Linked DNA regions of Ovis aries. The protein of the gene in region 1 interacts with the protein of each later gene in a pairwise test. Links are inferred from orthologs where the notes say so. Each region holds a gene or a part of one and is shown on either strand. Other genes may lie near its edges. The genes, in order: BRAP and NUMA1.

Evidence for each region.
Region 2: the proteins of BRAP (region 1) and NUMA1 interact in a two-hybrid assay, tested with the Homo sapiens proteins (2 studies listed by BioGRID and IntAct). The link is inferred for Ovis aries from reciprocal best matches to the Homo sapiens genes BRAP and NUMA1.

What each region holds. Positions count from the first base shown.
Region 1 is NC_056070.1:55,361,469-55,366,016, reverse strand, and holds the start of BRAP (BRCA1-associated protein), read left to right. Parts: upstream 1-1,685; 5' UTR 1,686-1,829; coding exon 1,830-1,911; intron 1,912-3,702; coding exon 3,703-3,864; intron 3,865-4,548. UniProt on the Homo sapiens protein: Negatively regulates MAP kinase activation by limiting the formation of Raf/MEK complexes probably by inactivation of the KSR1 scaffold protein.
Region 2 is NC_056068.1:50,378,288-50,382,090, reverse strand, and holds part of NUMA1 (nuclear mitotic apparatus protein 1), read left to right. Parts: coding exon 1-1,486; intron 1,487-1,928; coding exon 1,929-1,970; intron 1,971-3,377; coding exon 3,378-3,446; intron 3,447-3,803. UniProt on the Homo sapiens protein: Microtubule (MT)-binding protein that plays a role in the formation and maintenance of the spindle poles and the alignement and the segregation of chromosomes during mitotic cell division.

The DNA.
Region 1 (4,548 bases):
CATCTGAGTCACCAGAGAAGGCCAGTTCCTGCATATTAGAGAGATGGTTTAGTAGAGATTGAGTGTTGGCTCTGGAATCAGATTTCCTGGATTCAAAGTCTAGCTCTGCCGCTTACTTACGTGTGAGATCCTGAGCAAGTGACTCTCTGAGCCTCAGGCTCCTCCTCCATAAAATGGGAAAAATTATAGTACCTGTCTCATGAAGTTGTTCTTATTACTACACAGAGACAAAGTATGTATTAATAAAGCACTCAAGTTAGTACCTGGCACAACATTAAATGTTATCTGCTACTGTAATATACTATAAAGTTCACATGAGATATCATATATTATATATATATAGTGGGATGCATATGGCAGATACAGTTCCACAAAAGTCAGCAACTGCCACTGTGGGGAATTTTGGCCCCAAGGGGACATCTGGGAATGTCTGGAGACATTTTGGTGGTCACCAGTTGGAGGTGCTACTGGTACCTAGTAGGTAAGGCCAGGGATGGTGCTAACTATTCCATTAAGTGCAGAATATACACACAACCCAAAGGCTTAGTGAATCCAATCATGTTAACAGTGCAGAGGTTGAGAAATCATGATATAAAGGGTACACTGAAACTAACTCATAGTGTGCAGTCATAAGGTGTAAACGTCAGGTGGTCATGATATGGATTTGTAGTCCACACACCTACGTATGTCTAGGACAGTGTGTGCTCTGACACACTCACATGTCATAACATATATCTATGTAGCATCTTGTCACATACATGCTATATATGTATTGATTGTGGCTCTCCATGTTCACGTGCCAAAGGCAAGTCTTGTTCAGCGGCTAAGTCCTTTAGGACTCCTTGCGACGCCATGGACTGCAGGATACCAGGTTTCCCTTTCCTTCACTATCTCCGAGTTTGCTCAAACTCATGTCCGCTAGGTCGGTGATGCATCCAACCCTCTCATCCTTTGTCGCCCCCTTCTCCTCCTGTCCTCAATCTCAAGTCTGGGGTATTGAAAAGAATGCGGACTCTCAGAAAAATTAATGTAAACAGAGTCACAGCCTCTACTTGCTTCATCCTCATAGCTGTATAAGGATATCACACAATTTTATGAAAAACCTCGCTCAAGGTCACACAACTAGGGACAAGGTCAAATCCATAAGAACAGGAATTGGGTGTTCATCTTATTTACCAATGTATCCCCACCACCCCAACAGTCCCTACTCCCTATTGGCCCTCAGAGAAAGAAGCCGATTCATCTCTATGCCTCAGGGCACCGATTTGTAAAGCGTGGCTGACACAAAGCAACCCTGCCTACAGCTGGAGCGAGAGATCAAACAGGACAAAAAGAGGCTAGAGCTCTCTGAAGGGTGCGGGTGGCTCGGACAATTGGGAGACCTCGCGGAGTCTGAGACCCCTCGCCGTCAGATGAGCTGGGCTGAGAACGAGGTCTCTCAGGTAGGCTAACTCAGGTCTGGGCGCAAACCCACCGATCCGCCTAATGAAAGCCCAGCTCCCGAGATTCCCGTGACGTGCCTCCTCCACGATTTCTTCCAGATTCCGTACGCAGGGTGTAGGCTCACCTCAGCGAAAACACACCAGTCACGTGGCTACCGCCACACCCAATCAAAGAGCGCGCTGGCATGCGCATGCGTAACCTCACGGGACAACGACGGCGGCCGGGAGGCGGAAGTGGAGCTTGTTGTGGCTCAAAGGGTTGCTCGCGGAGGTGCTGCTGCTGCTGAGGCGGTGGCGGCGCTGCCCGCCCCGGGCCTCTCTACCTGTAGGCTCGCCTCCCACCCTCGCCTGAGCCCGCCGGGGCCTTCGCCGGCCAGCGGCTGCCCTATGAGTGTGTCACTAGTTGTCATCCGCCTGGAGCTCGCAGAACACTCGCCGGTCCCCGCCGGCTTCGGCTTCAGCGCTGCCGGTGAGTCCGCGGCCTCGCCGCCTCTCCCGTGGCCCGCGCCTGGGCCCCGGGGCGCGTCCCCTCAGAGTCTGGGTCCGGGCAAGGGCCTCCGCTTCAGGAGGAAGCCGAGAAGTGGTTGGGATCCCTCATGCCCCCACTATCCTTGGGAGGTCTCTTCCCAGGTGTCACCTGTGGGAAGTCTTTCCCGGTCCCTCCTTCCTGGTGCCTTCCCACCGGGACTTTGTTTATATTTGGCGCGTCGCTCTCTCACCAACCTGGGTGAGAGCCTAGTTGTGCGAATTGATTTTCTCTAGGCTGCCGTCTCTGGGGTCGCACAGAGTCGGACACAACTGAAGCGACTTAGCAGCAGCAGCAGCAGCAGCAGGCTTTGTGAAGGCAGACAGGGAATCCCCAGCACGCTGACGGCTTCTGGTTTAATTAAATTCTTCCTTTTTGAAAAACCATACATTTGGGCGCCCTGTAGCAGTGTTACAATTGTAACTGAAAATGTGTACACTTCTATATCCGAGCACTGTACTAAACACCTCGTGTGCACACTCCTATATCTTCATACAACCCAATTAGTTTTATGGGTGTATGAGGCTTTTACAAACTGGAACTGAAGCCCTGGGATTAAGTGCCTTACCCAGGATTATCTCTCCGTGGCAAAACTGGAATTCTACCTCAAAGAGCTGGACTTGAGAGTCTGAGCTCTTCATTCCGTCACACAGCCTCCTCCTGGGAAATGCAGGTATGGCTCTGTCCCTTGAACCGCCAGCAACGCATCATTCATTCAAGGAATACTTCATGAGTGCTCACTTTCTGTTGGGCTTTAGTTTTGTGCGGAAAGATAAATGGTCCCTGCTTTAAGGGCACCAGCAATTTACTTCAGTTCATAGAGATAGATTAGTTAAATAATTACAGGATAAAAGTAGAATACAGCTGTGACAAATGTACAGTAAGGGAAGGTAGAAAGCTGGAAAGGAATTTGGAAAGCTACCATGAGAGCATGTGTTTAGTTTGGGGAAGAGGCCTGGGGCTGGTAGGGATGGTCTTGTGGGAAACTTCCCTGAGTGTGTGAATTTTTGAGCTGCAAACTAAAGACTGAATATAATTAAATAGGCTACTGAGTTCTGAAAGTTGAATTAGTTGACATAAGCAACATATACATTTTTACATGGTTCAGTCATTGAGTCATTAATTTATTCAGCAAATCTTTAAAGAGCTTCCAGTGTGTGCTAGGCACTGTGATGTAAGTACTGAGGATACAGTGATGGGCAAAAGAGGCTTGATCTCTCTTCACATAAAGCTTATATTAAGGATATTTCTGTCAAGTCTCCGAATTCATTTTTCATTTTTGTGTGTTTTAGTGATTTAAGAAAATGATCACAGTTTTTCAGGACAAGGTGGCATTAGGCTAACCCAGGTTGTTTAAGAAGACTGACCTCAAAGTTTTGTTGATTAGTGGACTTGATGCCCTCATTTGGGGCCCAACACAATTTCATTGTTACAAGTGTTACTAAAGTGTTGGTTCATCTGAGCAGGATCACTATCAAAGCTCTTATCTCCTTCATTTGCTTTAAAATGCATGATTTCGTTTAGGACCATCCTGCATTTCTGAGTTTATTGCCCTGGGCATTAACTGACTGTACTGCAGGAGCCCCAGAGATGAGTGAGAAGGACCCTGCAAAAGGTATCTTATAGTCTTGAGGGAAGGCAGCAGAGAGAAAAAGGAAACCTGTGGATGGATACATTGAGAGTGGAAAGAGGCTTGTTTTATTATCAGATATTAATTATTCATGTATTCTTTAGTTGGGGAAATGTCTGATGAGGAGATCCAAAAGAAGACACTAGCTTCAGCTGTAGCCTGTTTAGAAGGGAAGTCACCAGGGGAGAAAGCAGCAATCATACATCAGCATCTTGGTCGTCGAGAAATGACAGATGTGATCATTGAGACCATGAAGGCCAACCCAGGTATGCTTTCCAAAATGCTAGGCTATCTTCTGTAAGGTAAATCCATGGTTGCTTATGTTGGAGTGGTGTTCAGTGAGCCTGTGATAAAGATCTCTAGCATACTTTAGCTTTTACTGCCTATGTTCCTTACATGAAGCTGTCAGGGTGGATTTCAGTTTCTCTAAATATTTCTTCTAAATTACTCATAACAAGCTAGGTTGACAACTGTCCTCAGTGAGGAGAGCTACTTAGCACGTAAGTCTGTGGCAGTTCATGTTGAATCCAGATAAGCACGTTGTGACTCCCCCTGCTCTGCCAGCTCGCTCCATCCAGGGGGGTGGATGTGTATTGCATCTCCAGTGTGGAGAACTGGTAGGTTGGTTTTCAAACTTTCAAATAGCCCTGAATATTTGTCCCACTTAGGAGTGCATAGCTCAGTTGGTAAAGAATCCGTCTTCAATGCAGGAGACCCTGGTTTGATTCCCACATTGGGAAGATCCACTGGAGAAGGGATAAGCTACCTACTCCAGGATTCTTGGGTTTCCCTTGTGGCTGAGTTGGTAAAGAATCTGCCTGCAATGCAGGAGACCCTGGTTCGATTCCCGGGTTGGGAAGATCCCCTGGAGAAGGGAGAGGCTACCCACTCCAGTATTCTGGCCTGGAGAATTCTATGGACTGTATAGTCCATAGGGTTGCAAAGAGTCA
Region 2 (3,803 bases), on another chromosome or scaffold:
GGCCCAGGCCCTGAGGGAAAAGGAGGGGATGGACCAGGAACTGGCCAAGCTTCGTGGGCAGGAGGCAGCCCAAGGGGCAGCACTGAAGGAGCTTCAGCAAACCGTGGAGCGACTGAAAGAACAGCTGGCCAAGAAAGAGGAGGGGCGCCCGCAGTCTCTTGGGACAGCCAGCCGAGAAGACGCTTCTGGATTGCGAACCCAGTCCAAGGCTACTGGAAAGACTGAGCCAGAAGGCTCTGAACTGCAGGCTCTGCAGGCAGAGGTGAGCCGGCTGGAACAGCAGGCCCGTGAGTACCAGGAGAAGGCCTCCAGCCTGGAGCACAGCCTTGAGTCTGAGCGTACCACCCACGCGGAGCAGGCCAGTACTCTGAAGACTCTGCGGGGCCAGTTAGAGCAGAAGGCCCAGGAGCTGGGGAGCAGTCAGGACGCCTTAGCCTCAACCCAGAGGGAGTTGGCCACGCTCCGCGCCAAGGCCCAGGAGCACGGCAAGGCTGAGGACGAGTGGAAGGCCCAGGTGGCCCGGGGTCAGCAGGAGGCCGAGAGAAAAAACAGCCTCATCAGCAGCTTGGAGGAGGAGGTGTCCATCCTGAACCGCCAGGTGCTGGAGAAGGAGGGCGAGAGCAAGGAGCTGAAGCGGCTTGTGGTTGCCGAGTCAGAGAAGAGTCAGAAGCTGGAAGAGCGGCTGCGCCTGCTCCAGGCGGAGACCGCCAGCAGCAGCGCTAGGGCCGCGGAACGCAGCTCCGCGCTGCGAGAGGAGGTCCAGACCCTCCGGGAGGAGGCTGAGAAGCAGCGGGTGGCTTCTGAGAGCCTGCGGCAGGAGCTGGCCTCACAGGCGGAGCGAGCAGAGGAGCTGGGCCAAGAGTTAAAGGCCTGGCAGGAAAAGTTCTTCCAGAAGGAGCAGGCCCTCTCGGCCCTGCAGCTGGAGCACACCAGCACACAGGCCCTGGTGAGCGAGCTGCTGCCTGTCAAGCACCTATGCCAGCAGCTGCAGGCTGAGCAGGCTGCTGCTGAGAAGCGCCACAGGGAGGAGCTGGAGCAGAGCAAGCAGGCGGCTGGCGGGTTGCGGGCAGAGTTGCTGCGGGCCCAGCGCGAGCTTGGGGAGCTGCTGCCTCTGCGGCAGAAGGTGGCAGAGCAGGAGCGTGTGGCTCAGCAGCTGCGAGCGGAGAAGGCCAGCTACGTGGAGCAGCTGAGCATGCTGAAGAAGGCGCACGGCCTGCTGGCAGAGGAGAACCGCGGGCTGGGCGAGCGGGCCAGCCTCGGCCGGCAGTTTCTGGAAGTGGAGCTGGACCAGGCCCGCGAGAAGTACAGCCAGGAGCTGGCAGCTGTGCGTGCTGATGCTGAGACCCGTCTGACTGAGATGCAGCGGGAAGCTCAGAGCACTGCCCGGGAGCTGGAGGTGATGACCGCCAAGTACGAGGGTGCCAAGGCCAAGGTCCTGGAGGAGAGGCAGCGTTTCCAGGAGGAGAGGCAGAAACTCACTGCCCAGGTGAGGCCCTGGCTCAGCCACACCCCTGGAGAGCAGACCTGAGAGGCGGAGACATCGTCCCTCTACATTCCCCGGCCTCTGATCCCCATGTGATGCCAGAGTGTCTGGGTGGCAGGAGGAGAGGTGGCTGCTAGTACAGGGTGTCTGTGGCCCCTGCTGGCCTACAGAAACTCCCCTTCCCCGAAGGCTCTGTCTCTGGTGAGGCAGGCTGTGAGAGCCATCAGCCAGCCCCTTGAGGCACTCTGTCATGAGGAGGCACACTTACAGTGGAGGCCCCAAGAGCCACCAGGGCCTCCAATGAGCCAAGATGGCATTTAAAGAGGCTGCTAGACATCTAGTTCCCTGGGGGCAGATCAGAGCCTCGGTGCGGTCAGCCTGGGAGCAGGGCGGGTGCCTTTTGGGCCCCCATCTCATGCTGTCTCCGTTGCTCCCCCATGCGCAGGTGGAGCAGCTAGAGTTATTTCAGAGAGAGCAGACTAAGCAGGTAATACCTGAGGTCCTCGATAAATGCTGGCTGCTTAAGCGGTGACTGGTCTCGGTGCATGACCCCGGCTGCAGCTTGCCTCCGTGGGCTCCTGTTGTGAACTGTTTGTGAAGGGGCAGGGTCACGCCGTGGAACCCAGGCCGTCCCGGAGTGCGGTGTGCTGGGCCCTCTCAGGCCCCGCCCCACCCATCCCAGGTCGGCCTCTCCACCCGTCTGTACTCTCATCGTCTCTCAGGGATGAGGGGTAGGGCAGGCTTCGTCTTTCCTGTACCAGGTCCAGAGACAGCCTGCCCTTGGGACTCCCAGACCTCCAAGTCCTGCTCCCAGTTTGGGTACTCAGCTGTCGGGACTTACAGTTTGGCCACAGGCCTGGTGTGGCACAGCTCCCTTCTTTCCTGCAGAAGCCAGAAAGGTGATGTGCCAGGCGGCCCCCACAGATTACCAGGGCCTTGAGCTCAGGACGCTTGCCCATCACCCTCTGGGGTTTTTAACCTCCAGCATAAGATAGAGATGTCTGGGAGCAGGAAGGTCAAGGTTGAGAGGAGGTGAGGTCTGACTGCCTCGCCCTTACCAGGGTGCTTCCCTAGACATCAAAGCTATCAAACTGGCATTTAGTGGGCGCCCCCTTCCTCTACCCCCTTTCCTACCCCATCATCTGGGGCCTGCTGAGGAGCTGGGCCCTCCTCTCCTCTCATCCCCTCCTCCAGGGAGCCTGAGATGATGGGGAAGGTCAGACAGAAGAGCAAACAGTTAGCAATGGAGCTCCCGCCTTTTGCCTTCACTGATCATGCTTGAGCTCCCAGAAAGCCCGGGGGAGCCAGGAGCGTCTGTGGCTGCCATGCGCCCTCTCATCCCCTTCCTCCCTGAGCCCTTCCTCTCTGTGGGGGTGGGGTGGGCGTGGAATACGTGTGCTACCCTGCTCTCGTCTTCCAGCTGCCTGACCCCAGTGCTAATCACAGCCACCACACCACTAGCGCCAGCCCTAATGGCCTGTGCATGTCGAGGAGAGGTCCGAGCAGTTGGGATTTTGCTCTGCCAGTTTCTTGTGGGGCGAGGGGGTGGGGTAGTCATTGAGTGTGTCTGCTGGCGTTATAGATGGGGTCCCCTGTTCCTGTCCCGCCGTGGGACGGTTGGGGCTGGGAATGGTGGCGGTAAGTCGTGGTGGGGTGTCAGCTCCTGAGTGGCCCCGCTGCGTCTGTCTCTGAAGCAGGGGCTGGAGGCAAGCGTGAGCAGGTGGCTCTGACAGCACTTGCGTTGGGTCACGTCACTCAGGTCCTGCCCACCAGCCACGGCGGCCCTGAGTTTCTTATGGGGACACTGGGGACTGGCCTGGGGAAACCCCATAATTTGTCTGGACCTTCAGCAGAAGGCCCCCTGAGTCTCTCTCCTCTTGCTTCCCTGCCCCAGGTGGAAGAACTGAGCAAGAAGCTAGCTGACCATGAGCAAGCCAGCAAGGCGCAGCAGCAGAAGCTGAAGGTGGGACAGCAGGGGATAGGCCTGCCCTCATCGGCTCAAGGGAGCAGGGAGGGAAGCGCTGAGCCCTGGCTGGGCCACCTTGGGACCTGGCAGCCTCAGGAGCCCTGCCTGTGCATCTGCGAGCTCCTGAGAGACCAGAGTGGCTCGCAACCTGCAGACCTTCACTGTCTGCTGCAGTAGCCACTAGCCATGTGTGGTTATTTAAATAAAAAATTCAGTTTCTCAGTCATGCTAGCCACGTTTCCATAGCTCAGTAGCCATGTGTGGCTAGTGGCTACCATACTGGACAGGACAGATCAGAACATCTACAGCACCGCAGAGGCTTCAGTTGGGTTGTGCTGTTTAATCTCAGGGAAT